Rattus norvegicus: one gene and its partners. The protein of the gene in region 6 binds, or shares a complex with, the protein of the main gene of each other region. Links are inferred from orthologs where the notes say so. Each region holds a gene or a part of one and is shown on either strand. Other genes may lie near its edges.

Region 1 (4,125 bases), on a different chromosome or scaffold from region 6:
CATCCTCTCCAGCCATAGCCTCTTCTCTCCCTTCTCCTCAGTTTAAACTGTCCTCCTGGCTGAAGAGGCGGTAACCGTAGCTTTAGCACAGGGTGTCCTCCAGCGTGGAGTGGCTCTGCTTCTGTTTGCCTGAGGCTTTGATTGGCATCTCTGACTAACACTTGGCACTTAGTAGGCACTCAGTTCCTGAGTAATGCATGAATATGCTGTTATCACGGCATCTGTGAGACTTTCCATACATGTGAGCTAAGCCAAGCCCGTGTCTTTCTTACCTTGGCAGGATGAGCTACTGAGGGCCCTGGTGAGGCAGTTTGGACAGCAAGACTGGAAGTTCCTGGCCAGTCACTTTCCTGTGAGTATTGCCCCTCCCCCAGGGCAAGGATTCTCTGTAAGCCCTCTCTAGAAAGCTTAGAAAGTGTAGGTGAGGTGAGGCTGGGAGGCCAGGCTTCCTGTACTACGCTTGGGGAGGCAGAGGCAGGTGGATCTCTGAGTTCAAGGTCAGCCAGGGCTACACAGAAACCTTGTAGCAAAACCAATTTATGTTTATTCCTGACTAGCTTACAAATAAAGGAGACTCAGACTGTGGTTATTATACTTGGCTTTGACAATTATGGGGGGGGTCACCCCTAATCTACCCTTCTAACTGCAGGCCTGGGTACTTCCCCAGCGGTGTACCCCAGATACTTGCTGTTTCTCCTGGCCACGTGCTCATGGTTCCTCTCCCCTCCTAAAGGCTTCTTTCTCCTTCTTCTCCCTCTCCCTCTGGTCTCTCCTCCTCCAACCAGGTCACTCCAAATCCACCTACCTCTAATTCCTCCAGTAATTGGCTATAGCCAATTTTATTTAGCCAATAGTTTTAAATTAAGGAACAAGGAGGTTTGCACAACAAAAGCTTATAAACCCGAGACGTCACTGCTAGAATTTAGCATTATAATATATAGCAGTAGACCAAACCTCAACAAAAAATAAATAAATAAATAAATAAATAAAAGGAAAATCAACCAAATAAAACAGGAAAGTTTCCCGGGAGATGACCTCACATAGCTGCCTTAGCGAATCTTAGTCTGGGGCCCAAAGGCAAGTTTGTTTTTCTTCCAGCAAGTCAGGAGCAGCTGGATACTTAGTTCTGGGCCCTGAACTTGAACCTAAGGGGAAGCGTCGTTTGAGCAGACTTCAAGCTCCTGCACGGTTTTAGTGCCACTACACTAACATGCAAAGTCTGTGGATGAGAGCTCCCTTCTACACACACCCTCCCCAGGACTGCTGGCACCAGGAAAGGCTGGAGTATCCAAGGCCACCACTGACTGCTGGGAGTTCCATAGGCATCCTGGGCTGAGTCATCACCCTTCTTTCTGCCCTCTGCCTTTTTCCTTGTAACCTGAGCTCTTTAAAGACTTAAAAAAAATGTTTTTTTTTTTTCTCCAAGAAGAAAGGAGGGATAACTAATAATTTTCACAAAACTTTCATAGACTCTTAGATAGTGCACCTCACACACACACACACATATACTAGGTTCACAGGATGGGAGGTTCCTTTCCACAGGGCCTGAGTTCATCCTTTAAAGTGAAGCAAAATTACTGTACCCATGTTCTGGTATATTGGCCTCTGGTGTGTGGTGGGTGCGTGGCACAGGACACAGCTACCTAAGGTGTGCTTGTACCCTGCCCCCTGAGCTCAAGGCTCAACCAGAGTTCAATCTTCTAGTGTCAGCATTCTTTCTGTTCCTGTTCTAGAACCGCACAGACCAGCAATGCCAGTACCGGTGGCTGAGGGTTTTGAATCCAGACCTTGTTAAGGGACCGTGGACCAAAGAGGAAGATCAGAAGGTCGGTGCTGGCAAAGGGACTGCACACACGGTGGGCTTGCAGGGAATCTGAACATCCCCGTACCATACAGCTTCTCCAGGGACTTGTGTGTGTTTGTGTAGTGAGAAAGGCCAGCTTTGTAGCTTGGCTGGTCTCATATTCATGCTGTAGCATAATCTGACCTAGAGCTCAGAGCGCTCCTCCAACCCCAGCCTTCCTAGTGCCAGGCCGAGTGGCCACCTCACTCCATGAATCATCCAGACAGCTCTTTGTTGTTGGTTGTTTTCCGAGACAGAGTTTCTCTGTGTAACCTTGGCTGTCCTGGAACACACTCTGTAGACCAAGCTGGCCTCAAACTCAAAGAAATGCACTTGCCTCTGCCTTCCAAGTGCCAGGGGCCACCACCATCCGGTGAGACTACCTAGCTTTTTTTTTTTTTTTTTTTTTTGGTTCTTTTTTTTCCGGAGCTGGGGACCGAACCCAGGGCCTTGCGCTTCCTAGGTAAGCGCTCTACCACTGAGCTAAATCCCCAGCCCCGACTACCTAGCTTTTAACTGGTAACCATACCTACCACATAGAACATCATGGACAGGTAATGGGTGGTCCACATAAGAGGCTTGCTTCGCTAGTGACAGCTGGCATTGAAGCTGTGATAATGTGGTAGACACGGTGACACAGGTTAGACCACACAAACACAATGCTCAGATGCCTGGTTTGAGGGTGCTTCACACGAAACCTGTCGCATGCTGGGTAAAGCTCTCTGTCACTGGGCTTCACCTCTCCTCTGATCCCTGCTCTAGGATTATTTTCTTTTTGAAACGGGGTCTCACGTTAGCTTGGGCTAGCCTCAGACTTTCCGTGCAGCCAGAACTCACTTAAACTCCTGCTTCTCTCCCCTGTGGGTTACAGGAGTTTTGCCACATTTGACATTCAGTGCCATATTTCCGTAGTCTCTCGGGGTGGGTTATTTGTGTAATAGGTGGGTAAATCAAGGCATAGAGAGGGATTGACATTCCCCAAACTGCGATGACCCTGGGCTGCTTTTTTTTTTTTTTTTTTTTTTTTTTTCTTTTCTTTTTTTCGGAGCTGGGGACCGAACCCAGGGCCTTGCGCTCGCTAGGCAAGCGCTCTACCGCTGAGCTAAATCCCCAACCCCCTACCCTGGGCTGCTTTTTCGGTGCTTCTTTAACCATGCAGAAATGAAATAGAATATTTCCACACAGAAATTCCTTTTTTTCCCTAAGTGTCTATTCTTGCCTGGTTTTGCCTGTGCACACATGGGAATACACGTGTTATCACACATCTTGAGGCCGTACACCACAGAAGTGCTGAAGGGATATATCCTGCCCTAGAGTATGGTGCGGGCGGACCTCTCACAGGCTTACTGTAGCTCTGTAAACTGCAAAGTGAGACCCACCGGGCTATCTAGACGTTTAATGGAGGGCGATGGAGGCGGGGTGGGGTCCGGTCCTTCACCGCTGTTCTCTTTAAGGTCATTGAGCTGGTCAAGAAGTACGGCACAAAACAGTGGACGCTCATTGCCAAGCACCTGAAGGGCCGTCTTGGGAAGCAGTGTCGTGAGCGCTGGCACAACCATCTCAACCCTGAGGTGAAGAAGTCCTGCTGGACAGAGGAGGAAGATCGGATCATCTGTGAGGCCCATAAAGTGCTGGGCAACCGCTGGGCTGAGATCGCCAAGATGCTGCCAGGGAGGTGAGGCCATCTCCTGGTAGGGAGGTGAGGCCCATCCTGGGATAGAGTGTCCCAGAGAACTGTGATCAGCCCTATGTGGTCTTTAACATCCAACCAGCCAGGTCTTCTAGAGATGTGCATTAAATGGAAATAGGTCCCTCAAGAATGGCCTGTCTAAAGAGACAGTACTAGGAAGTCTGGTTGAACCCTGTTAGGGGGAATCTGATGGGAGAAACACTAGTTTCTGTCCCCAGATGTTGAACCTGGGCTGACTTCTCGAACTTGTGACCTTGGCTTCACAAATGATACTAATGTGGATATGTACCACCATGCCTGGACAGTCTATTTAATGTATGTGAGTGTTTTGCCTACTTGTGTGTCCGTACCATGTGCATGCCTGGTGCCTGAGGAGGCCAGTTGTGAGCTGGTCTGTGGGTGCTGGGATCAAATCAAGATCTTCTGGAAGAGGGAATGCTGTTAACTGCTGCTGGGCTGTCTGTCTCCTCATCCACTGTGATGGTTTCCATCCTGGTTTTCAGCCATGGAGGATTTAACTCCCTGCGACTCTGACCCTCCCTCCCACCCCATTGCCTACAGTATATCCTATCCTAGTTTCCTTTCTGTTGCA
Region 2 (4,709 bases), on a different chromosome or scaffold from region 6:
CTATCTTCCTAGTAAGACAGCTCAGCTCCCCAGGCAGCGAGCGTCAGCACCGACCTAGTGCATGAAGACACACCAGCTCGTATGAGGCCTCTCTAGCTTCTTCCCACTGCAGGGTTCTCATGGCCCAACCTGCACACATGCTGTCCCCATGAACGGTCTACAGTACCACAGGAAAGACCCCGAGTACCTGCAGGCACAGACCACCCCTCTACCACTGCTCGTCTGCCAGCTCCTGCCTGCCCCATTCCATAGCCCACAGTCCACAGGGAGCCCAACATACTCGATGCTCTGCCTGGGCACCAGCAGGGGCAGAAAAGCCCCTAAGCTATTTGTCTTCTGTCTGCCCTTTCTGAGACCTAGAGCGTGACTTTTGCCCCTCTGTTCTCGCCAGCGTCATGGCCTTCCGAGCCCCATGTCGACAGTGCACTTTACAGCCAGAGTTCGTCTTAAGCATCAAGTGCTTACACAGCTCCAGTGGTGCCTCTTTCCTACCCTTCAGCACAGGTTACAAAGTCCCTTTCCAAACCCCAATACTGCATCCTACTGAAAAAGCACAGGGAAGGCCCAACCCTGCAACCCCCACTTCCAGCCAGAGAACAGGGGGAGCCGCTTCGCCTCTGCCCAGGTCTGTGCGCACTTGTGGAGGGACAAAGCAGCAGCGCTCTTACCCAGTCACAGCACTGGCCTCACCATACCACAATGGCTAACCCCAAACCAGCTGGCCTCACACTCTCCACTGGATAGGACATCCTGACCACTTGCCATCATGGTGTCTACCCACCCACCCACCCCTTCCCCAGGGACACAGCACACAGGAGTGCATGATGCAAAACTGAGGTGACAGGACTTGGAGCATGCTGACTCACTGAAGATCACTGAAGAAGATGCAATGATCCCCGAAACCACACCAGGCCATGGGGTCTCAACGAAGGCACGGGAGCCAGTGCCCTGCTTACACACCGTTTACCAGACCTAGCTACTTTGTGGGCACGCACTGAGCGGCACGTCTCTCCTTAGGCACACACGGGGGGAAGAGTCAGGACGTGGAGGCAGGCAAACAACAGACATAACGAAATCGAGCCCCACGCCACATACAGCTGTGACTTCAGGTGACCTACACACGGTCTCTCAGGGTGGAACTCGACTCCCAAGAGCAGGTCCAGTGCTTGATGACCATAAGACGGACACCGTCTGATCCAGGTGGGCCACTAGGCATGACTAAATCCTTGGGCCTCTAAGTCAGGACAAGACTCGGTACCTGCGCCACAGTTTCAGTGCACTTGGGTACAAGTCTAGCTGATGTGGTATTATCTGCCTGCATTTTCAGGGCTGCACAGAAAATTACACTCATCTAATAGTCAAAGGACAGTGAATGCTGAAACACTGGCACAGGCACGATCAGTGTTGGAGGGAGTTATAAAGTAATACTGCGAACATGTATGTGACCAAAATCACAGACTGTATTTTTGCCCCCTAAAAGCCTAACTGTCAGTACCCATTTCAAAAAAGAAATTTCAAATGCTCAGTAGCTTTGTAGTAAATACGAAGCTTAACCAACCAGCGTTTCCGTGTTTCATTAACCACCAAACGTCATCTTTCTGAGAGAAAAATGTGCCCAAACAAGTAGTTGGGATTCAACCCATCAAAGTGGAATTACGGTCTTACATACTACATAAAACAAGTTAAGTTTCATGCATAATGCATCGTAAGTTGCATGCTGACAGCTCTCCTTCGTGGAAACCCACTAGCAAAATACCCCCCTCACACGTTCATTTCAACTGGGAGATGCATTCAAACACAAATTTTGTATTCAAGCGGTTTAGATAGATTAAAGAAAAATCCAGACATCATCATCTTAACCACAAAGAAAAAAAAAAAAAAAAACGTGCCAGGCTTCAGATGACAAAGAACATTTGTGCGGAGGGGAGGCACCCACCTACTGACTGGCCACCCCTCACCTCCATCCCAGCTCCTGCCTGTAAAATGTCTGAGCAAACCACTGCCACGCAGGTATGGCCACTCTCAAATAAAGGGAGAGAACTGCAGCGAGCTATGCTAACATGTCTGCAGCATGCAGAACTCATACTTACATCTTTTGCCATGTTACCAGATCCAGGAAATCAAGGCTTTAACTGCGTACCCTCCACAGAAGAAACCGGACTTATCTGGTAAAAAGGAAGGGGACGAGTAATGAATGAGAATGAAAAAAAAAGAAGTTTAACGCACATCGCATTTCAAAGGAAACATCTCCCCACCAGCACGAGGCAGGCCTCCAGGCAGCAGGGGCCTTTCTTGCACAATCCCAACAGGAGAGCTAGCCAAGCAGGTCCCACACAGGGATTTTAAGTCACCTCTCCAAATGGAAATGCTCCCTGCGGGCACCAGCAGCTCCCACCCGCAGAGGGGCCAGACCCCGGCCCCTTGGCGGAGCGAGGCGCAGCCGTCAGGCTCACCCCACCTGGGCACGCGGGCCCCGCCTGACCACAGGCCCCACCGAGTCACAAGGCCCCCCACTTAGGCACACGACACTGCGTGGTTCTGCCCGGGCTGCAGCAGGCCCCGGGGCTGCCCAAGACCCCGAGGTGCCGCCGACCACTCTGACAGGTGGGCTCCCGGCCGCCCGGCCGCCCCACCTGTCACTAGGCCCGGCCACCAGCCTCGCGCGCTGGCGCGGACAGAGCCGGAGGGTGGCCAGGACCCCTGCCTGCCGCCCACGCCACGCCGCGTCGAGGCCGACTCCGGGCTGAGGCTGGGCGGCGGGCGGGATGCGACCGGACGCGGGAACCGGGCTGGGGCGGGAACGGGGCCGCGCGCCCAGCCCGCGCCCTCCCGCCGCGACCGGCCGGTGCCCCCGCCACACCTGGCTGGCCGGCGGGGCGCGCGGGGCGGACGACGGGGGCGCGGGGGCGCCGGCCCGGAGGTCCGGCCCTGGCGGTCCCTGCCCTGAGCCAGCGGCGCCGGGACGCGGGCTCACCCTGGGCCGAGCGTCGGGCCGGCGTGACGTGCGCGCGGCGCGGTGACGTGGGCGGCGGCGGGCCCGCTCCGCGCAGCGCGCCTGCGCGCCTTTTCGCGCCTTCGGCGCCCTCCTCCTCCTCCTCCTCCCGCCGCTCATCTCCCGCGCCTCTCGCCGGTGCTACCCGCCCTGGGATAGGGGAGGGACCTGTGCGCGCGTGCGCGTGTGGCGGCCGCCGACGCTGAAAAGCGCTGCGCGCGCCTCCATGTGCGCTCGGAGAGAGGCCACGTGTGTGCGCGCCTCTGTGTGTGTACACCAAGGGCCAACTGTATGCATGTCTGTGTGCATGCGCAGGGAGAAGAGGGCCACGTGTCTGCCTCTGTGTGTATGTGTGTGTGCCACGCGCGCCAACGGTGAAAAGTCTGTGGTGTGTGCCATACCTGCATGTACACATAGGGAAAGGATGATGTGTGCACACCTGTGTATATCCATAGTCTCGCTATACAGACACGTGTGTATTCATGGAGTATGAGTCGTGTGTGTGCATGCCTGGACGTATATATAGAAGAGAACCCTCTGTGCATACAAATATGGATACCTATGTTTAATGCCTGCACACTGAAAAGAATAGGTGAGTGTGTACACACAAGGGAAAAAAATGACCAGTTCTGAGCGTGCTTTAAAGTACCTGCATGTGCACCACAGGGGGAGGAGTCTTGTACATTTATACAGAACAAAGTAAAGGCTGTTAGGATGCATATTGGACAATGCAGAGACAAGATCCCCCACCTCTGCTCAACTATTGACCTCCACAGCCACAGGGCCTGAACTTGGGCAGTCAGAGGGAGCAGCCTGAAAGACAGGTGTGTGTGTGTGTGTGTGTGTGTGTGTGTGTGTGTGTGTGTGTATGTATGTGTAAGACTAAAGCTGGAGAGCCTGGGAGAAGAATAGACTGTGGCTTGCAAATCAGTCCAAGTGGTTCAGATAAAATGACCCAACTTTTCCCAAGCATATGGGACTAAAGACCAGAGCGCTGTTCAGTACTATCAGACAACTGTTAATGTGAGCGACCAAATTTTATTCTGAGGGGTGGAGAAGCCAAATTTGACTCCCAAACAGATCTTTCTCTATTACCTAGCTTCCTTGGTCAGACGAGTTAGCATTTGACTGAACAGTCCTCAAGCTGCTGTCCTGTTTAGAACTCTTCCTCAGCTGCTTTGAGGAAGCAACACTGTAACCACAGCAGCTTATTGCTAAAGCACAGCTACCGTTCCAGAAGGCAATACCCAAGGCATGAGTATCTCAATAGCTTGCACCAGACCTCTTACCATCACAAGCTTTAGTAAGCTCTAGTAACCATCTTCACCCAGGATGGGAGGGGGTGGGGGTGGGGTGGAGGGGGAAGCATCTGTAATGGCTGAGCAGAAAGGCTGTGATTGGTGCAAACATCCTTGCCACACCCCATTTCTGACTATATAAACAAGCTATTTGGCTAACTTTTTCAGTAAGCTGGGAGAGTCTTTCATCCAATAGGAACTCCTCTCAGGTGACGGTTTACAAGCTAGACTGGTAATATGAAGAGATAAACCACAGAGCATCAGCAGAGCAGTGACAGCAGCAAGGGGGAGTCTGAAGAGTTCTGGGGAGCAAACAGGTCCAGAGCAGCAGCACACAGGTGGTGGGGCGACAGACAGAAATGGGAAGACACTTAGAGAAGGTAAAGTGCCAGGACTGAAGAAGGCTATGAAGGGGCAGA
Region 3 (4,125 bases), on a different chromosome or scaffold from region 6:
TTACTGTCAACTCTCAGAAGAGAGACCACGCATCCGTTTGAATGCCCATCCGCTACGCAATACCGAAACGGTAGCTTCTTGCTGTGTTTAACACATGGTGACACAGTCACAGCTCGACGCCACAGTCATGCTCATGAGGCCGGGCTGGCATGGTAAAGCGTCCAGGTTCTGCAGTTCTACCCACTGTCAGATGCCTGGGCCGCCTGCTCGCCGGAAGTTTGTTTTCCCCACGTAACAAGGCTCAGACTCCTAAGTGTGTCCTGTGTTCACGCTCACACCTGAGAAGAGTGCTTCCTTCACACAGACACATGCCATGCATCATAGTGTGACTGTTAGCAGGAAAGTGCTGGAAAGTGCCAAGACCTGTAGAGTAGACTCCTGTCATCCCAGAACCTGGAAGGCCGATACAGAAGGATAGCAAGTTTGAGGCCAGCCTGGGCTACACAATGGCATTCCTTCCCCCATTTTAGGAGGCTTTGATTTTGCTTTGTTTTATTTTCTCTTTTTGGCTGAAACAGAATCTTATACAGTCCACGCGATCCTCCTGCCTCAGACTCCTTAATGCTGGGGTTACAGTTCTGTGTACCTACACCCAGCCTCTTGTACATTTCTTATGAGTACTGTGGTAGCTCTATTTAAGAGGAAATTTCCTTAGAAGCTTTAAAAGTTTCCCTTTCTGTTTTAAATAACTTTGACTATTAAAGGAGGGGAGTCTGTGTCTTGTAAAAGATAGAGAAAACCAGGTAGAGTAAGGGGATTTTGTAGACCTGACTGGAAATCAAGTTCACAGTAGTCGAATTCCCCTGTTCTCACCCAACCCAGTTTCTCTGCTGTTGACTGATTATGAACATCAGAGTCACTCCAGGGACAGTTATTCAGTTTGATGTAAAGGTCAAATAATAGAAAACATCAGGATCTGATCAATACCAGGGAAGTCCACTGGGAAAAGTGCTTAGGGCCTGACTTGTGCAACCTGCACTTTTGACTGCTTAAGTAAAAAGGGAAAACTATATCAGTGTAAAACCCAAACATTTTGGATTGTGAAAGAAGCCAGGCAATCTCTAATATACGGCAGAGAGCAACAACAAATTATTATTTAAAAAAATACTTTTTAAGTCAGGCGTGATAGTCCAAGTCTATAATCCCAGGACTCAGTGGCAGAGGCAGACAGATCTTTGAGTTAGAGGTCAGCCTGGTCTACATAGCGAATTCCATGCCTGTAAGGCTACATCATAGCAAGGCCCTATCTCAAAAAACAAGTGAGGGCTGGAGAGATGGCTCAGCGGTTAAGAGCACCGACTGCTCTTCCAGAGATCCTGAGTTCAATTCCCAGCAACCACTTGGTGGCTCACAACCATCTGTAATGGGATCCGATGCCCTCTTCTGGTGTGTCTGAAGACAGCTACAATGTATCCTATACCTGAAATAAATAAATAATCCTTTAAAAAAAAAATCCCGGGTTCTAAGGAGGAGCTCTTTGAAAAGCATTTTCCCAGAGACGCATAGATACACACCTCTGCTTTCTTCCTCTTTGCTGGCGAGGTTGTTCTTCTTGGGGATATTTAAAAATGTCTTGAAAAATGGGTTCATATTTCTTAAAGATCACAGCGGAGACAGTGAAGTTTCTTTCTAATCTTTCGGTTCGTTCTCGGAAGTGTGGGGGTAAATTTGCCATATCTTCCCACTTCTTCATCTTGTTAAAAAATTCAATTAGGCTGATAATAAAAACAAATCGAGGTACTTTAATAATGCAAAGGTGACGTTATGCCAATACAAGTAAATCAAAATCATTTCACTGAATTATATCTGGACAATGACATAAAATCAAAGGGATGCCTTTGGTTAGCTTAATCTCCTACCCTTTACCTTGTCACTCCCACCTCCTGACCCACTCTACTCAGGTTTGGATTCCGTGTGTGTGTGTGTGTGTGTGTGTGTGTGTGTGTGTGTGTGTGTGTGTGTGTGTTCATGTAGCTGACATGTGGCAATGCACACAGAAGACTGAGATTGATGCCTGGTGCCTTCCTCATGACTGTGTCACTTGGATTTTTCTGCTGGGTGTGACAGGAGCTTTTACTGAGTCATCTCAATGACCCTGCCTTAGATCTTTTAAATATTAGAACTCCGATGCTGGAGAGATGGCTCACCACACTTAAGAATATTTGCTGTTGGGTTGGGGATTTAGCTCAGTGGTAGAGCGCTTGCCTAGCAAGCACAAGGCCCTGGGTTCGGTCCCCAGCTCCGAAAAAAAAAAAAAAGAAAAGAAAAAGAAAAAGAAAAAAAAGAGTATTTGCTGTTTTCACAGAGGACCTGGGTTCAATCCTAGCAACCACAAGGTCACATATGACCATCTTTTACTACAGTCCCAGGGGATCTAATGTCTTCTTGGACACCAAACATACACATGGTACCATATACATACATGCAGGCAAAATGCTTGTACACATGAAATAATAAAATGAACCCCCAAAAATTTAAAACAATACTAAAGTTAGAATAGAAACAGACAAAATTTTAATGTGAACATCTTCCTAAACTAGTTCTCTGCCCCTCCCAAATGTAACCCCAATCTTTTGTTTGCTTTTACATTTTATGTAAAATGTATCACACTACAAGTAGCATTTTGCAACTTAGTTTTCATTTAATGTTTCTGAGGCTCATTAATGTTAATACATGGAAATATCTAACAAGTTTAATTACTAAAACAATTCCTTCCTATGAACATTCAATAACTTTCTGCATTCACTCAATGAACAGAGACCGATTACTTCGAATTTTCCTTTAATAAAATAGTGCAGGTCTGGAGAGGGGCTCAGAGGCTAAGAACATTTGTTGCTCTTGGCAGAGGACTGAGGTTCTGTTCCAGCAGCCACACCGCAGCTCACAACCATCTGTAACTCCAGTTCCAGGAGATCCAATGCCTTCTGACCTCCACAGGCACCGGAACACATGTGGTACACACATATACATGCAAACATGCATACACATAAAAAACCATGAATTTTTGAATGTTGCCATAAGCATCTTGGTATGCACGATGTGTGTAGGAGTTTCTTTAGGATCAGAGAAGACGCAGGTCCAATTTTACTACACATTTCACATGCATTAAAACATAAGTTCTGGGCTGGAGAGATGGCTCAGCGGTTAAGAGGACCCGACTACTCTTCCAGAGGTCCTGAGTTCAATTCCCAGCAACCACATGGTGGCTCACAACCATCTGTAAAGAGATCTGATGCCCTCTTCTGGTGTGTCTGAAGACAGCTACAGTGTACTTATATATAATAAATGAATAAATCTTAAAAAAAATAAGTTCTATGCAGAATACCTAATAATTTATATTTATTTACCTTTTAAATCCATGGTATCTTCAAAAGCTTCTCGGTCTCTTTATTTAAACTTAAAGCAATATTAGGCAATAAGTTATAACCTTTAATGCATTACAACACGAATACACTCATGTTCGTACACTGCGATCCTGACTCCGAAATGGTAAAGGAAACCACAACTCAGTTTCTACACTCAGCTGTGTACATGTTAGATGCTCAGAAAATAGTAAACAGAGAGAATTTCCATTATCAGTGTGGTGTCTAAGCTTTCTTAATTTTAGCAGCATCCTACTTTTCAAGCTCTAACATAATTACCTTTGCTCAGAACATCGAAGGATTCTAGTTAAAGACACATAGTTTCCTTCAGCAGTCCCTTTGCTCACAGTAGGAACAGATTTTCTGCAAGCCACATATAAGGCACATGCTAACCAATGGAGATCATTTCCCTGAAAGAGAAAAAAGAGTTTTAGCTAATGACTTCCGTGTGCTTCAATGGAAAACTTCGTGCATTCATATCGAAAGTGATATTTCTATGACGGCCCTTGCCCACGGCCTCTTCTAGTATGTGACATTGACATTCGTCCATGCATGGTACTGTCTCTGTTCCTTTACCTTGAAGCAGGGCAGAGTCTTATGCCCCTGTACATGATGGTCTTTATTAATACCACAGGTAAAAGTGATGCTATACAATCTCAAAGGTCACAGAAGGGAATGCTGATACCGACTGCCTTCATCTTTGAGGATGTCATAAACCAGCATACAAAGCGTGTGCCTCCCTTCAACTGACATGCTGAGAGAG
Region 4 (4,791 bases), on a different chromosome or scaffold from region 6:
AGCAAGGTAATCACTTCCTTGTTCTAGGCCTTAGTATTCTCTGCCAAGGAAGAATTCGAAGGAGGCGTCTTCAACAAGAGAAATATCCAGGAGCTTCTTTAGGAAAGCTTCCTTGACTTTCCTATTTTTTATTCTTGATTTAGTTCTGCTTGTGTGTGTGTGTACTTTTATGTGGTGCCCATGGAGACCAAAATAGGACACCATGTGAGTCCCCGTAACTACGGAGCTTAACAAGTGAACCAGAGAGTGAGCCATTTTTCTGGCATCTTGATCTTCCTATGCAAAGTGTCATGATTTTGGTGGCTCATGTCTGTAACCACAGCACTTGGCAAGCAGAGAGGCATGGTGGATTTCTGTGAATGCCAGGCAGCCAGGGCTATGTAGTGACACCCTGTCTCAGTATAATTTCAGCAGAGGTCTGGTAAGATAACTCAGTGGTAAGGTCACTTGCTGCTGATCCTGACTTGCATTTGATCCTCAAATACTGTAAGTGGTCCTGTGACCTCTACAGATATGTCCCTATCCCCCAGTAAGGTTTTTTTTTTTTTTTTTTTTTTTTTTTGGTCTTTTTTTTTTTCGGAGCTGGGGACCGAACCCAGGGCCTTGTGCTTCCTAGGCAAGCGCTCTACCACTGAGCTAAATCCCCAGCCCCGTAAGTTTTTAAAAAAAGCATACACCCAGCAGGTTGTGGTATTGGTGTTGTTAATCAGGCTGAGGCAGGAGGCCTTCTGGGAGTTCAAAGACAGCTTTGGTCACATACATAATGAGTTTCAGCATAGACTGAGCCAGAGTGAGGCAATAAATAAATAATGATAGATAAAGTCTCAGTCCCTACCTTGATGAGTATTTTTGCATATTTTTGTGTGCCTACTACATTTAACCGGATTTTTGGCTTGTTTATTGACTATCTTGTCTACACAATAAGATACATTATCGGCAAGAATTTTTGCCCAGTTTTCTCGTTACAGTGTCCTCACTATCTGAATGAGTACCCAGCACTTTTAATACTTAAATGAATGAGATTTTGCTTAAAAAGACACCTAGCGAGCTCTCTGTAAGAAAGGAGCCAGTGCATCTCTAGATTGGTCTTCCCGTGAGGGATCTCAGTGACTATGATAGCTCAAAGCTGTAAATAGGTTTACTGGCGCTACTTAAAATACAACACTACAGGGTTGGGGATTTAGCTCAGTGGTAGAGCGCTTGCCTAGCAAGCGCAAGGCCCTGGGTTCGGTCCCCAGCTCCGAAAAAAAGATAAAAGAAAAAAAAATACAACACTACAAATCCCAAGAAGCCTTTTGTTTCCCATAGTGCCCTGCGCGGCGCAGGCGCGTTGCCTACTTCTTGAGCCTCGGAAGTTTGAATCACAGTCCTCCTCCTTCTCTCCCCCGCCCCTCAGGTGCCTGGCTTGTCGTTGGTTTGTTTCCGGATACAGGGCCTTGGGAAGGTGGAACTTAAGGCTGGGAGCCAATAGTACAGGCTGTCAATTGGCCAGCAAATGAAATTGACGTTTTCATCAACTAGTGGGAAAAAGCAGTTGCCAAAGGGGCCCGCCTTCAGAAGGGAAAAAAGGGAAGTGCTGGCCAAGGCAGTCGCGGCAGGACACTGCTCAGGCCCGAGGACCAGTGGTACCCAGACTTACCTTTGACCTTTTCCTGCTCGCCTTCCGCCTCGCTTTTGAACCCCGCCTCCTCCAAGTTTTTCTGATCTAACGCATTAGACCTGGACCCAAATCATGTTCCCGGTAAAGGTGAAAGTGGAGAAATCAGGTGAGGACTGGGGATCGTGAAAAAGTGGACTGTGCGACATCTCTCTGCAGCCCATCTGACAGGATTCTCTAAAAAGGGTTCTTTTCTTTTTCTACCTCAGTTTCCCCATTTCTGACAGAGGGCATGAATCAGCAATTGTGGTGTGTCCCTCAAGTACACAATAGTCATTGCATTCCAATAACCTTAGCGTGTAGAGTGATGAATGGAAAATATACAAGGTGGGAGGAGTGGCAATGTGTGGGGACAAAGCGGGCAGCAGGGAAGTTAGGGCGGCTGGGGCAGTGAGGAAACGGAGGCAGAGAGGTGGGAGGGGAAGACACATCGATCTGTGGGGTCCAGGAAGGGACTTTCAACTTTTTCTTTGAGGGAAATGGGTAATCTAGAGAGGTTTTTGAACAAAGAGTGGGTTGGTAAAGTTGCACCCCAAAATGCAAAAAAGAAAACAAACTTATAGTCCAACAACTAAACTTGAGTGGAATAATTGCTAGTGGAGAGAGTGCTGTTTGTGTTGGCAGATGCCTTTAATCCCAGGGCATGGAGAGCAGACAGACTGATCTCTGAAGTCAAGGCCAGTTTGACCTACTTAGCAAATAACATGCCAACCCAGGGCTACATAGTGAAGAAGTGGGGATGTGTGTGTGTGTGTGTGTGTGTGTGTGTGTGTGTGTGTGTGTGTGTGTAATAGGGTTGTAGAATCCTTGAGGGTTCTGTGCTGGCAAAGATCAAAGCCACATTGTCTGTTTTGTATTTTTTCTTTGTTCTGCTTATTGTTTGAGAGAGGATCTTTGGTTGCTGAGGCTGACCTTGAACTCTTGATCTTCCTACCTCAGCCTCCAGTGTGCTGGGATAGCAGACCTATGTCACTAAGCTAGGCTTGGCCCTCTTTTAGGAAGGTTCTGTTGTCTGCTTTATAAAAGGAGGTGGATCAGAAAAGGCAACTGAGGCTAGGCGCTGGTTAGGAGCAAAAGGCAAGGTGGGGAGGGAATATATTGACAGACTCCTGCAAGCCAAGAGAGCTGAGACTGGGGTGGGAGAGGAGTACCCATGGTGAGTCCAGGAGCCTGTGGACGGGTGAGTCACTCCTCATGGTGAGAATCCAGGAAGAAGAGTGGGTTTAGAGAGGGAGGCCTCGGTGGAAAGACCCTAAGGGCTGTCCCGTGGAAGGTGTCCAGATCCTAGACTCTTGAGTAGGTGTTGGAGAGAAAATGGAGCAGTGAGCAGCCACACCCATGACCCCTGCCTAAGGCTCTGTCGCCCTGGTTCTGTCTTTAGTTGGTCTCTCCACTGAGTGGCACTAAAGTGGCTTTCCAAGTACCTGGACCAGACAGAACATAGGATCGCCTCCCACAGTGGATGTGGGAGGTGCACACAGAGCTGATTCCTAACTTCTGCCCTCAGAGATGGAGATGGCCAAAGCCCGGAACCAGCTGGATGCCGTTCTTCAGTGTCTGCTGGAGAAGAGTCACATGGACAGGTTGGGATCTGGTCCAGTCTGGGGAACCACAAGGGTGGGAACTGTTTGGACTGACTGATTGGGGGTTGTGGGGGGATCTGGATGGGAGCCTGGAGGCTGCCTTAGGGGGAAAACTGTTCCATGGTGTGTCCCATGAGAAAACGACTCAGTATCATCACAGGTTGGGTCCTTGATACCCTAAGCCAGTAGTGCTTTCTTGCTCCCAGGGAACGCCTGGATGAAGAGGCTGGGAAAACCCTCTCGGATACACACAACAAGTAAGGGATTCTGATGGGATTTAGACCTGAGAGTTTAGGTTTTTCCCTCTGCTAAGTCCCAACCATCTTACGTAGACATACCTGTTGAATAAGTGACTGACACTTTGAGAGGGTGGGGTATTGGTGGGATACAAGGCCCAAGGGGTACCAGTAATCCCCAGGGTGCCCATTTTTGTTTCTAGTGCTAGAGATAGAACCCCAGGGTGTGGGCAAACATTCTGTTACTGAACTATATCACTTCTGCCTTGGGGGGCAGTGTTGAACAGATGTTTTAAAGGCTCGGCCTGCTGACACCATGTCTCTCCTCGCAGGGATTGTTCCATTGCTGCCACGGGCAAAAGGTAAGGTGGCTGGGACCCCAGACCACCAAAAGGTTCCCAGTCCCCAGCTTGGGGCCTGACACTCACCTTAACCATACAGGCCATCGGCCCGCTTCCCTCACCAGCGGAGGAAGAAGAGAAGGGAGATGGACGATGGGCTTGCTGAGGGGGGTCCTCAGAGATCCAGTGAGTAGGCGGGGACTGAGGGTGGGCATAGAGCCAGGGACCACACTAGGGTGCTCATCTGTCACCTGCCTCACCGCCCCAGATACGTATGTGATCAAGCTGTTTGACCGGAGTGTGGACTTGGCCCAGTTCAGTGAGAACACACCGTTGTACCCCATCTGCCGCGCCTGGATGCGTAACAGCCCTACAGTGCGAGAGCGCGAGCGCTCACCTGGCTCACCACTGCCCCCTCTGCCAGAGGATGGAGAGGTAGGAGGAGTGTCAGGAGGCCAGAGAGAGCAGTGGGTGGCTAGGTCAACAACAACCCCATTCTTGGTAGATAGGTTTAATCTCTGGGCTCCTCAAGGAATAGAGAATCAGGTAGGATGCATTCTCAGGTAAGATTACAGGCAGGTCCCTAGGCCAGATAGATATGGCTTCCTAGGGACCCGGGGTTCTAAAAACATAAAGGGCTGGACAGGGATCTTATGTGCAAACATGTGGCTGCCAGATGGGGCGTTGGTGAGCAAATGTGGACCTTATGGGCTGGGTGGAGGGTAATAGGGATTTGGAAATCACCTGGCCTGAAAGGGTAGGCATGGGTCCCTGCGACAGACATACGACCTTGACTGTTGGAGCTATCCAGAGTAGACATGACACCCCCTGGACAATTCCTTAGAAAAGGCATCTTGACCACCCCTGCCCTTGGGCTGACAGGTGTAGATGGATTCCCTGGGCTTGGCAAGGGTAGACAAGGGTTCTCAGGTTGACAAGAAGACAGGGCTCCTAGAATAGCAAGACTGTCCTCT
Region 5 (4,125 bases), on a different chromosome or scaffold from region 6:
TTTCAGTAATTCATGTTTTCTCCATGCTGTTTCTGCTGCTTCTCCTGACCAGAGCTCCCTACCCCCCTCCTTTGGTCTTTACTCAATGTTGATGCCTCTCCCCACAAGTCATCTTCCCACTTCCCACAGAGCATCGTGAATAACTGTGGCCTGGCACTTCTCCCTTTCAAATTGTCTGCTGTTATGTATGTGTTTGATCATTATGCTCTAAGACTCATTGAGGGAAAGAATTTCACCTGCATTTTTATACTTCTGGTCCCTAAAACAGTTCTTGCAAATCCCTGATGCTCATATATTATTAGAACTAATCTGACCCCTCAAGTTTTAGTAAGAACTGAGATGCTGATGATTTAATGTCAAAGGACACATAGGTGTTAGCTAATGCATAGTCTCTAGGAAGGAGAGCTAGAGCTTTTCACAAGTTAATTTCTGGTGTCTAATAGTCACTGGCGTATAGCAGTAATTTATCAATACGTGCTTACTAAATGAATGACATTATAGAAAGCATTCTATGTATTGTTAAGCTCTTAAGAGAAAAATTAAATTTGAAAACATTTCCTTTATTCAGTCTAAACTTTGTTCACTTGAAAGAGAAACAAAGTGATTATTTTCCTGTTTTATTTTTACATAGTTTTGTAGAGGAATCTCTGAGTATAATGGAATATGAACTTTTTCATCAGCCTTTTTCTCTTCTAGTAAACGAAGCAAAAAAGGGGACAAAAATGGGAAAGGCTTGAGACATTTTTCAATGAAGGTGTGTGAGAAAGTTCAACGGAAAGGCACAACATCATACAATGAAGTAGCTGATGAACTGGTGTCTGAGTTTACCAATGCGAGTAACCATCTGGCAGCTGACTCGGTAGGTGGATTGTGGATTACACATGGACTATGGTTCCTAGATTCAGTACACCTATTGGTTTGTGACATGGATCTGAGGAACCAGGGAAGCTTAGGAATCCTCTGAGAGTTTCCTATTTATTTGTATGTATGTGATATGTGGGGGCACATGCATGCCATGACACATATGTAGAGGTCAGAGGACAGTGTTGCGGGTTCCTTTCCTTCTACCTTTACCTGAGGTCTGGAGATGGTACTTGGGTCATAAGGCACTCGTGGGAAGTGCTTTACCCAGCTGGTGCGTGTCGGTAGCCCACAAAGATAAACTTTTTCTTTTCAAGACAAGATTTCTCTGTGTCATCTGCCTATCCTGGACCTCCCTTTGTAGACCAGGCTAGCCTTAAACTCAGAGATCTGCCTACCTCTGCCTTCTGAGTGCTGGGATTAAAGGTATATATATCCCCACTGCCTGGCAATACTATTAAAATATAATATTGTGGTCATATAAATTTTGGGGCACTTAGGAGAGTGAAGCCAGCTTGCAGTATAAGGAGCACAAGGCTAACCCAGTCTACATAGTAAGACCCACCTCTCCCTCCCATGTTAAATCAACAAAAATAGAAAAGTTCAAAATCCTAGGATTTTACCCAAAAAATGATGTTAAATAAAGCCTACAATGTCAAGAATACAATATTTATATTCAATTCCATAATTTAAATTTTTTACTGATTTAGATTTATTTTATATTTCAATGGACTCAGTATTTCCCACTATCCTTTATTATCACATTCAATTGATTTGATTTTATTGTTAAGAACTTCCTGTGTACAAGAACCTCATGATACAAATCAGTGTAAATGTATTCATTCAATAAAAGTTTTATTACCAAAAGAAATGACAAGTTAGCTGAACTAATCAGTGTGCAGAGGTAGTACAGAAATATTTTGGGACATAGACTGAAAACAGCTAGTCAGCACTAGTCCATGAACCATATTCTAAGAGGCACAGTTCACAGACTTTAAAACATGCATCCTTGATGTGTATGTGCATATGTATGTTGTCTGTGTTGTATACACCTGCGAAGGCTCATGCGTGGGTGTGAAGGCCCATGTGTGGGTGTGAAGGCTCATGCGTGGGTGTGAAGATGCCGGAGACAACATTGGGTGTCTTGCTCTGTCAGTTGTCCCCTTATTTTTGTTTGTTTGTTTATTTATAGACAGGGTCTCAGTTTGCATGTCTGACTGGCCTGGAGTCACCATGTCGAACAGACTGCTCTTGCTTCTTCCTCCCAAGTGGTGGGATTAAAGATGTGGTACCATTCCTGGCATCCTCACACAAAGCCTGGGTTTCTCACTGAACTCGAAGCTTAATGATTGACTAGTTTGGGAGGCCAGGAAACATCTAGGATCCACGTCTTCACCGCCCTTGTATTGGGGTTGCAGACGCATGCTGCAGTTGGCTTTTACATGGGTGATGGGGATCCAAACAAGTATAGAATTCTTCCAAATAATTCAGGCACTTTGAATACTTTACCCCTCTATGTATACATGTGTTATAATATTAGTTTTTATATCTTGGACTTCTTAAAAACTTTATGCAGCTGAGATTTACCCTCATCTTTATGTTTTCTGCATCTCCAAGCTTCCAGTTTTAGTACTCTTCCCCCACCCAAAGATGTCCCCGTAGTGTTCTTGTCAACCTAGGGTGGTCTAGAGTTTGTTTCTGACACTCTTTTGTGTTACGGGTATCTTCAGGGCTGGAGCTGTCACCTAGTGGTAGAACATTCTTTTAGCATGCATGAGGCCTGGGGTTCAACCCTCAAAACAACCTTAAAAAAAAAAAAATGAAAAAAAATGTCTTCAGAACTGGTAAGATACCTCAGCTGACAAAAGCATTTTGCCACCAAGCCCGATGACCTGAGTTCAGTCATAAGATTCATGTGATGGAAAAAGAGATTGGGCTTCCACAAGTGGCCCTTGGAAGCTCTCCATGGACAATATGGCAAGAGTTTATGTCCACTGCCCCTCCCCAAATACACACACAAGTAAAGTGTTTTAAAAAAGTTTACCAGTGTCTTTGTTACATATTGACCTCCAAGATGTTTTCACGGGGCATAGAATTTTCCAGTAGTTGGGAGATACTACTGTTAATATCAACAGCATGTGAAGATAACCTTTAAAATTCATCCCTTAATAAAAACATTTTCAGCAGGCTTATGATCAGAAGAACATTAGACGAAGAGTTTATGATGCTCTGAATGTGCTAATGGCAATGAACATAATTTCAAAGGAGAAAAAAGAAATCAAGTGGATTGGGCTGCCTACCAACTCCGCCCAGGAGTGCCAGAACCTGGAAGTAAGTAGGAGCGCTGTCGGATGGTGGCTGCGCTCTGTTGTTTGCATGCGAGACGTTTTCCTTAAGAAATTTATCGTGAGATATTAAAATATTTATACTTGTTCATGTTTGCATTACTGTAAAACTCTGGGGAGTTTTGAGTTGGAAGAGTTTTGGGGATACAGTTTGCAGTTTATTTTACAAAACCTGGAACTGAGGAAGAAAATGTCAGCGAGTGGTTTGGTCATGAAGGCGACGATGGCATATAACTAATCCGGGCACTTGGGAGGTAGGAGGAGGATCAAGGGTCAAGACCATCTCAGCTGTTTAGTTCAAAGCCAGACTGAGTACATGCCCCGTCCCAAAACAGACCAGCACAGAAACCGAACACAAAAACCACAACAACAAAGTTAAATGAGTGCATTTCATTTTTGTTGTTTCTTAGAATGGATCTTTATTTCATTCTAATTTAAATCTAAGTATCTGCCAATGAATTTTTGCTAGGTCATTTAACAAATCTAATCTTGATTAATTATCTTTTTTTTTTTTTTTTTTGGGCAGTTCTGTAACTTTATTTGACATTCAGCAGTTAGTTCTCATCCACATTGACTGTCTGTAGGTTTTTGAATGTGGTAACAGGCACGTAAGTTACCAGTGTGTAGAGCTTGTTTGGTGAATCCTCATCCTCATTACGCTTTCTGGACAAGCGTACTCGGATGCGGTATGGAACATTCCTTATTCCTTTGGCCCAGACGGCTTTATTGAGCCTGGTGTCTATGTGCACATCTGGAGTCCCCATCTCCTTCATGGCAGATTTCCGAATTTCTTTGAGTGCCCGAGGAGCACGCTTCTTGAAGCCCACTCCATGGATGCGTTTGTGAATGTTGATGGTGTATTCTCGGGTCACCACCTTGTTGATGGCAGAACGGCCCTTCTTCTCGCCATCCTTCTTTG
Region 6 (4,125 bases):
TTGGGAACACACACACACAAACACACACACCAGCAATTAAAGAAAAAGAGACTGTGAATTTGAGTGGGCAAGAGAGGATATATGAAAGGGCTTGAGTGGAGAAAAAGGAAGGCAATAATTCAACTGCATTACAATCTCGACAAACAAACAATGTGTGTGTGTGTGTGTGTGTGTGCACTTTATTTGTTTTTTCAAGACAGATTTCTCTGTGTAGCCCTGGCTGCCCTAGAGCTCTCTCTGTAGGCCAGGTTGGTTTTGAACTCAGAGATCTACTTGCCTCTGCCTTCAGAGTGCTAGAATTAAAGGCATGTGCCATCATTGCTCAGCTCAATAAATAAATAAATAAATAAATAAATAATTTAAAAAAGACCATTTCAGACTAAAATACTATTTTCAAAAAAAAAGGGGAAAAACCCTCAAAACAATACTGGACTATAATTTTTTCAAGTAATTTATTTTTATTTTATGTGCATTGTGATTTGCCTGCATGTATGTCTGTGTTAGATCTTGGCGTTCTAGACAGTTGTGGGCTGCCATGTGGGTGCTGAGAATTGAACCCCGGTCCTATGGAGGAGCAGTTAGTGCTCTTAACCACTGACTGACCCATCTCTACAGCCTCCTAGACAATTATTTAACAGAACTATGTAATCTTCTTTTCCTTTTCTGTCAGAGTCAAGCATCTAGCTATTAGCTTGGGCTGGCTGTGAACTCTTAAGCACCCTGCTGAGCATCTCAGGCTTGCTTCTTTTATCAGCCTTATTTAATCTAATTTTCAAAAGCAATCACTCAAATAAGCATGTGGCACAAATCTTTAATCCCAGCACACAGAGGCAAAGGCAGGCAAATCTCTGTAAATTCCAAGCTAGCTTGGTCTACATAGTAAGTTCCAGAACAGCCCTACACAGTGAGACCCTATCTCCAGAAAAACAAACAAACAAACAAACAAACAAACAGACAAACACACAAACAAACTCATTACATTTTTCAAGTCAGACTATTCAGAAAGACTGTTACATATAATGCTTCTGTAATTTAGACTTAGATTTCTTAGTGTCTAATCCCTAAGTACTTAGTAAGTAACAGTAATTTCTTATCTAAAACAGGAAAACCAGGTAACTCAAATTATTTTTGGGTATTATAATTTTGTTTTAAGAATTGTTGGAAATAAATAGCAGAATCCTGAAAACCACACAGTGGTTGAAAGAATAATATGTAAAGATGTTTGACCCACAGAAAGACTCCAACCTTAACAACTCTGAAGACATTCAGTTTCCAAGCAACAAAAGCATTTGGAGCAACTTACCACCTGGATAAGGAATTCTACTGGAAAGCCTCCTAACGTCTCCGTGTCAGAGCCAGAAATTTTACTTCTCCAAGGCGACTGTCCTAGCAAGGGATCACCATCCTGAAAGTCGAAAGGAATCATCTAATCACTGACTGTGTGTAAAGTGAACACTCTGTTTATTAAAAGCACATTAAAAGCCAGTACTGAGGAAACTATTTTCAGAACTGGAGAAACTATTTGCTTATTTTAACAGCTGCCAATCAGTTCAATGTGATGCAGGAAGCTCAAGTCCTGAAGTAGCTGTCATGTGTGCTACACGAGAGCACAGACTGCGTTCACAACAGTGACATTCCTGAGGCATCTCTGCATTACTTACTGTAATTGGTGATTGGAGAGGAGGGGTGTAATGTAACCGTGGGGGGGTCATAAAAAACCGAGAAGGCCGCTGTTTCTGTCCAAAGGCAGCGATTGGCATTGTCTCATGAGGCTCATTACTCTTGAAAGAAGAGAATAATCCATAAAACTTAAGGAATTTATAAGCACTGTATATCAATTTAAAATATAGCAGTCCAGAGTGCAGTTATAGTCCTAAAGTTTATTTACTTATTTAGGAGCCTATAGGGTCTTCCACATGCTAGGCAAGCACTCACTACACTGTAATTACTCATTACTCCAGCAGTCATTTTATTTATTTACTTAAAAAGAGTGTAAGACTGGGGATATAGCTCAGTGGTTCAGTGATCACTAACCCTGGATTCAAACCAAACCCAAAGGACACTCACAAATTCGAGTATGAACACACACATGCACACTCATGAATGCACACATAATTTACACCTTACAAAATCAAGACTGATAAGTACCTCAGCAGTGTATTGGAATATCAAAACACCTAGATTCTAGTCTCCAAGTGACTTATAAACAAACAAAAACACAAACAAACGAAACCCCAGATTTGGAGCTTTGAATAAGTTAATGGACACTGTGGCAATTTCATCATGGAAACGTCAAGTGTGGGGCTGCTCAGTGGGTACAGGCACCAGCAACTAAACCAGAAGACCAGTCTAAGAGTCACATGGTAGAAGAGAAATGACTCCCACAGGTTGTACTTACTTGGACCTCCAAACAAGTGTTGTGGACTGTGTGAGTATGCATATACACATGCAAACACACACACGCACACACACGTAAAAATGTAATTTATAGTCAGGTGGTGGTAGTGCACTCCTCTGATGCCAGCACTTGGGAGGCAGAGGCAGGCAGGTCTCTGTGAATTTGAGGCCAGCCTGGTCTACAGAGTGAGTTCCAGGAAAGCGAAGGAAACCCTATCGAAACGACCCCCCCTCAAAAGTAATTTTAAAAGGTGAAGGTACTGATTCTACATGAATATGAGAATAAAACAGGAGAAAAATATGAAAAGTCCAAGAAGTCACTTCCTATTTTATATTTAGGATGAAAATGTGTATGTTCCAAGATTATTTCATCAGAAACAATCCTGTTAGCAAGGGCTGCATGGTTAAAGCACACGGAAGGGACCCTAGCTTTTGGAAATGAGACTTAAGTACAGTCTTCTCTAGGGATCTAGTCTATAGGGCTGGGAAATCCTAAGGCTCTCTTCTTTGAATTCAAATCTTCTCTCATACAAGACAATTTAAAGAAAACACTAAAATAATTTAAAAGCAAAAAATACAAACACACTATAAAACATTTTAATTAAGTTTAATAAAATGTTACTCACAAGAACTTCATAGTCAGGAATGGTGTGAGTCCCAAGCCCTGTCCTATCGAAAGTTACTCTGTAAGTAGCATTAAGAGTATCCACAGCATCTATCTGACCAGTAAACAGACCATCGTGAATGCCACGTAATCGTGCTGAAAGAGAAACAGGTGTTCTATTTAGGACACACAAACACTTGCGAAATAAAACTATTCTAAGCATATAGTTGAAACCCTTAAAAACATAGTGTCACTGTGTACTAGTTTAACATGACTATGTACTTTATCTTAGGGTTAGAGAATAGTTTTTTAAACGAAAACAAAATTAAAATGATTCTTAATTTGACATATAAGTGAAATCATATAGCTACCAAACAAACCTGATAAAGAAAAGACCACCATTTAGAGTACAAACGCCTAAAAAACTAGCAAAACAATTCTGGATATCAGACTTCCTTTTGTTTAAAGATTTATTTATTTTATTTTATGTAAATGAGTACACTGTCGCTGTCTTCAGACACACCAGAAGAGGGCTTGGATCCTGTTAAAGATAGCTGAGACCCACCATGTGGTTGCTGGGAATTGAACTCAGGACCTCTAGAAGAACAGTCAGTGCTCTTAACCACTGAGCCATCTCTCCAGCCCCCTGGATATCAATACTTTTAAGCAACATATTAGAAATAGTTTATTTTCGGGGTTGGGGATTTAGCTCAGTGGTAGAGCGCTTGCCTTGGAAGCGCAAGGCCCTGGGTTCGGTCCCCAGCTCCGAAAAAAAGAACCAAAAAAAAAAAAAAAAAAAAAAAAAAAAGAAATAGTTTATTTTCAACTTTAGATAGGTCTCATGTATATCCCAGGCTGCTCTCAAACCTACAAAGCAGCTAAGGATAACCTTGAACTTTTGATCCTCCTGCCTTTGCTTGAATGGCAGTATCACTAAACTCCAGTCTGAAGGGACAGCACATGTGAAAATCATAAGAACAGTGGCACTGAAGGCAAAATTAAAGCTATTAAAAAAGGTACATTCGCAGCCCTCTTCTACTTTGAGGCAAGGTCCTGCTATGTAGATAGGCCAGGCTGACCATGGAGCTGGGATAATGGGCCTTTTCCACTATGCCTGACTGCCT
Region 7 (3,073 bases), on a different chromosome or scaffold from region 6:
TCATCCCCAAGAAACCTCTCGTCCAAGCAGCCCCCAGATAACTACCCCCACTCCTGTCCTTGGCAGCACTGAAGTCTCAGATGTGGCAGGCCAGACAGCTGAGATTGCAGGTGAGACACTATGGTAAGGTGTGATGGATTATTTTTTTATTTTTTGGAGCCTACAAGAAACTGTGTCATGGCATGCTATACTGAGAATTAGAAGTTCCTGGGGTCCCCACTTAGCTTTCCTTGGAGTTACAATGAATGTGCCCCTTTAAATTACTCTGTTCATTTATTTGTGAGGGGGACACATGCTACAGGATGCATGTAGAGGTCAGAGGTGATCAGATGACAACTTGAAAGAATTGGTTCTCTCCTTTCATATTTCTGGGATTTGAACTCAGGTCAGGTTTGTCCATGAGTGTCTTAATTCACGAGGATCTCACTTGCCTGAATATGCCCTTTCTAACAAGGAAGCTTTGACTATATAGGCAGCATTAGTAGGGTAGTTTATCCCAGATTGGACAGTGTCTGATGGATCCTGGCAACCCCATGAGTCTCCCTCCTCCAGGACATGTGCTCTATCTTTAATGATGTTTTCTAGTGCTTCTTGGTAACTAGTGGTGACTAAGTCTCCTTGGATTTGGCTACCAGCACTGTGGTCATCCTGGTCATAGGATCTAGCCTATGGCAGGTGTAGGGTCTATTTCCTGACTCTGTGTTTGGGTTTGGGGATGTGGTTGCAGTGAGTGGTAGCCCTGGAACTGAGAACAAGGGCAGTGGTGAACTCAGTTCACTCCCACTGGGCCTGACAGCACTGGACACTCGACCTCTGCAGTCCTCTGCACTACTGGATAGTAGCAGCAGCAGCAGCAGCAGTAGCAGCAGCAGCAGCAGCAGCAGCAGTTCATCTGGACCCAACCCTTCTACCTCCTTTGAGCCCATCAAGGCAGACCCCACAGGCGGTGAGTACTTACTGAGGGGTGGGGGCCAGCAAGGAGAGTCTTGGAGCTGGCAGTTCCTTTCCTGCTAACCTCTGCTCTCTGCCAGCCAGACAAGGATGCCTAATCTCCAGGTCAGTGCCTGTGCCTCTTGCCCGTTTCTGGGACTTCATCCCCCCTCCTGCCACCACTTGGAGCATCACTAAGCCTCACTAATTGAGATTTGCTGCTCTTCGTACTCACCTCACCATTCTGTTTTCCTTTCTACGTATGAATGCCTTTAAAAAGTAATCCTTGGTCACCCGTGTCTGTCAGCTAATCCTCCACCACAGGGCTGTAGCTGTGCTGTTCTTGGTGTAGTACCTGGCCCAGCAGGTTTCTAAGAGTCTAGGCCTGGTGCTTTCTTGGTCTCTTCTGATGCTCTTTCCTCTGTCTTCACTGTCAGCTCTTGGCTTTTCTGCCTCACTGGCATCTGATACTTCCTTAAACATTGGTACTTACCATTTTATATCTGGGGTGGGCCTCAGCTCTAGGGAGCTGATTTTGAGTTTCGGCCTCTACATAGTCTAGATCTTTTACCCAGTCTCCTATACACCTGCCATAGACGACTTGCATATCTGGTGGACACCTCAACTGAACTTAACCATCCTGCTTCCAGTTTGCCTTTCAAGTTCTTTGTGGACTCTTATCAGCTAGCTCTAATCACCAACAGGCTTGAGATACCTCTGTATCATCCCAGTTCTGCTACCCACCTTACATGGGTTAGGTAAAGTTTGTGAAGTCTGTATGGGATTAAAAGATGCGTGCCACAGCCAGCTCTCTATATTTTGACCATTTACAAAATGACCCTCTTTGCCCTCCTAGTACCTTCTCATCCCTCTTACATCTTCAGCACACCAAAAACTATACACCATTTTAATTTTAGATTTATAGTAATCTTTTAGAACATTTTATCTATATCTTATTTATCTACTGGTAATTTCAGATATCTATACAATGTGGGGGTGTTTTTTTTTTTGTTTTTGTTTTTTGTTTTGTCCTTTTTAAGACCGGGTTTCTATGTAGCTGTCCCAGAACTTACTCTGTAGACGAGGCTGGCCTCTGCCTCCTGCCGTGTGGGATTAAAGAATGTATGCCACAATCAGCTCTTTTTGACCATTTACAAAATGACCCCCTTTGCCCTCCTAGTACCTTCTCTTCCATTTTCATGTTCTCTTCATTCTAATTAGCACTCCATGTATGCACAGATCCAAAGAAAAGTGACTGCCTCTTTTCCAGCTAGTTGGATGGCTTGGTCTTGTATAGATACCATAGATGCTTGTGAGTTCACAGTACAATGGCCATGTTGTATCCAAAAGACAGTATTTCACAACACTCTTCCCATCCTATGGTTTGTACAATTTTTTTTTCTATGTTGTCATTTAAATCAAAGAACCAAAACAAACAGCCAAGTTTGCCACCTCCCCATCTATAATGGCTGCGTCAAAACACTGTAAAAAGGAAACAGATTGGAATGTCTGGTGAGTTCTGACTCAGGAAGCAGAACATCAGAATGGCCTGTTGTGAGACTTTACTTATGCTTCCTCAACAAACTGGCCTCTTGGTGATCTCTCTTCTTCAGTTCTACCCATGACTGCCATAGTAGGAGGCCTGGGATCAGAACCCACAGGCCACTGTACAATATTTCTGTATACCCTCTTTAGTTATATTTCCTGAACCTTGGGCTGAGCACTCAACCTAATCTCAGCAGTTTATCAGGAATTTCTGCATTGACTCCTGCCATTTTCTCTAAGCAACATGTAAGCATGAAAATTTAGGAGGCAGTTTGATAAGCATATTAATTAGCAAGGCAACAGTACTAAGTTCTCCCCTAGGATCAACGATCTCTCTAGCTATGGACTTTTGCAAGGTTTACAGTATCAGGCATGAATTATACCTGTGGGGCTGATCTCAAAGCCAAGTAAAGGGGTTGGTTACCCTCCTAAGTTATGCCACTATTGCACCAGAAGGCACATCTTCCCTGGTGGGTTGGTTTATTCCATGCAGGGGCTATTGCCTGTTAAACCCACTAACCCATCCTTTTTATTCTCACAAATGGAATGATCTTTCAGCAATGCAATCCTGATTGGTATTTCTCAGTGTGTAAATGTA

Evidence for each region.
Region 1: the proteins of Lin9 (region 6) and Mybl2 are in contact, whole or in part, in a crystal structure (PDB 6C48), measured with the Homo sapiens proteins. The link is inferred for Rattus norvegicus from reciprocal best matches to the Homo sapiens genes LIN9 and MYBL2. Residues at the interface, in NP_001353174.1 of Homo sapiens: Lys356, Gln385, Arg386, Tyr388, Ala389, Thr390, Val392, Leu393, Leu395, Glu396, Asn399, Leu402, Asn403, Leu406; in NP_002457.1 of Homo sapiens: Trp663, Ala667, Cys668, Gly669, Gln674, Met677, Gln678, Ala681, Arg682, Leu684, Leu685, Arg687.
Region 2: Lin9 (region 6) and Tfdp1 share a complex: the UniProt entries of both Homo sapiens proteins name them as parts of the DREAM complex. The link is inferred for Rattus norvegicus from reciprocal best matches to the Homo sapiens genes LIN9 and TFDP1.
Region 3: Lin9 (region 6) and Rbl2 share a complex: the UniProt entries of both Homo sapiens proteins name them as parts of the DREAM complex. The link is inferred for Rattus norvegicus from reciprocal best matches to the Homo sapiens genes LIN9 and RBL2.
Region 4: the proteins of Lin9 (region 6) and Lin37 are in contact, whole or in part, in a crystal structure (PDB 7N40), measured with the Homo sapiens proteins. The link is inferred for Rattus norvegicus from reciprocal best matches to the Homo sapiens genes LIN9 and LIN37. Residues at the interface, in NP_001353174.1 of Homo sapiens: Lys99, Ala101, Ser102, Gln103, Lys104, Ile105, Gly106, Arg108, Leu109, Arg110, Leu112, Leu113, Lys114, His119, Trp121, Cys122, Ile123, Glu125, Trp126, Phe127, Thr227, Leu237, Phe238, Leu272, Ser273, Asn274; in NP_061977.1 of Homo sapiens: Tyr95, Ile97, Leu99, Phe100, Asp101, Arg102, Val104, Leu106, Ala107, Phe109, Ser110, Glu111, Asn112, Thr113, Pro114, Leu115, Tyr116, Ile118, Cys119, Arg120, Trp122, Met123, Asn125.
Region 5: Lin9 (region 6) and Tfdp2 share a complex: the UniProt entries of both Homo sapiens proteins name them as parts of the DREAM complex. The link is inferred for Rattus norvegicus from reciprocal best matches to the Homo sapiens genes LIN9 and TFDP2.
Region 7: Lin9 (region 6) and E2f4 share a complex: the UniProt entries of both Homo sapiens proteins name them as parts of the DREAM complex. The link is inferred for Rattus norvegicus from reciprocal best matches to the Homo sapiens genes LIN9 and E2F4.

What each region holds. Positions count from the first base shown.
Region 1 is NC_086021.1:172,131,028-172,135,152, forward strand, and holds part of Mybl2 (myb-related protein B), read left to right. Parts: intron 1-280; coding exon 281-352; intron 353-1,733; coding exon 1,734-1,826; intron 1,827-3,297; coding exon 3,298-3,518; intron 3,519-4,125. UniProt on the Homo sapiens protein: Transcription factor involved in the regulation of cell survival, proliferation, and differentiation. Transactivates the expression of the CLU gene.
Region 2 is NC_086034.1:82,900,007-82,904,715, forward strand, and holds the start of Tfdp1 (transcription factor Dp-1), read right to left. Parts: upstream 3,161-4,709; 5' UTR 2,975-3,160; exon of another isoform or gene 2,352-2,974; intron 2,166-2,351; 5' UTR 2,103-2,165; coding exon 2,091-2,102; intron 1-2,090. UniProt on the Homo sapiens protein: Can stimulate E2F-dependent transcription.
Region 3 is NC_086037.1:32,089,737-32,093,861, forward strand, and holds part of Rbl2 (retinoblastoma-like protein 2), read right to left. Parts: intron 3,773-4,125; coding exon 3,642-3,772; intron 1,716-3,641; coding exon 1,515-1,715; intron 1-1,514. UniProt on the Homo sapiens protein: Key regulator of entry into cell division. Directly involved in heterochromatin formation by maintaining overall chromatin structure and, in particular, that of constitutive heterochromatin by stabilizing histone methylation.
Region 4 is NC_086019.1:94,937,213-94,942,003, reverse strand, and holds the start of Lin37 (protein lin-37 homolog), read left to right. Parts: upstream 1-1,559; 5' UTR 1,560-1,732; coding exon 1,733-1,766; intron 1,767-3,164; coding exon 3,165-3,240; intron 3,241-3,446; coding exon 3,447-3,497; intron 3,498-3,808; coding exon 3,809-3,838; intron 3,839-3,917; coding exon 3,918-4,003; intron 4,004-4,085; coding exon 4,086-4,252; intron 4,253-4,791.
Region 5 is NC_086026.1:105,751,436-105,755,560, forward strand, and holds part of Tfdp2 (transcription factor Dp-2), read left to right. Parts: exon of another isoform or gene 1-696; coding exon 697-859; exon of another isoform or gene 860-3,045; coding exon of another isoform or gene 3,046-3,048; coding exon 3,049-3,192; exon of another isoform or gene 3,193-3,760; coding exon of another isoform or gene 3,761-4,125. Other genes in the region: large ribosomal subunit protein eL31-like, read right to left, coding at 3,761-4,125. UniProt on the Homo sapiens protein: Can stimulate E2F-dependent transcription.
Region 6 is NC_086031.1:94,930,278-94,934,402, reverse strand, and holds part of Lin9 (protein lin-9 homolog), read right to left. Parts: intron 3,773-4,125; exon of another isoform or gene 3,692-3,772; intron 3,158-3,691; coding exon 3,024-3,157; intron 1,782-3,023; coding exon 1,662-1,781; exon of another isoform or gene 1,661-1,661; intron 1,406-1,660; coding exon 1,304-1,405; intron 1-1,303. UniProt on the Homo sapiens protein: Acts as a tumor suppressor. Inhibits DNA synthesis. Its ability to inhibit oncogenic transformation is mediated through its association with RB1. Plays a role in the expression of genes required for the G1/S transition.
Region 7 is NC_086037.1:50,086,963-50,090,035, forward strand, and holds part of E2f4 (transcription factor E2F4), read left to right. Parts: coding exon 1-110; intron 111-727; coding exon 728-946; intron 947-3,073. UniProt on the Homo sapiens protein: Transcription activator that binds DNA cooperatively with DP proteins through the E2 recognition site, 5'-TTTC[CG]CGC-3' found in the promoter region of a number of genes whose products are involved in cell cycle regulation or in DNA replication.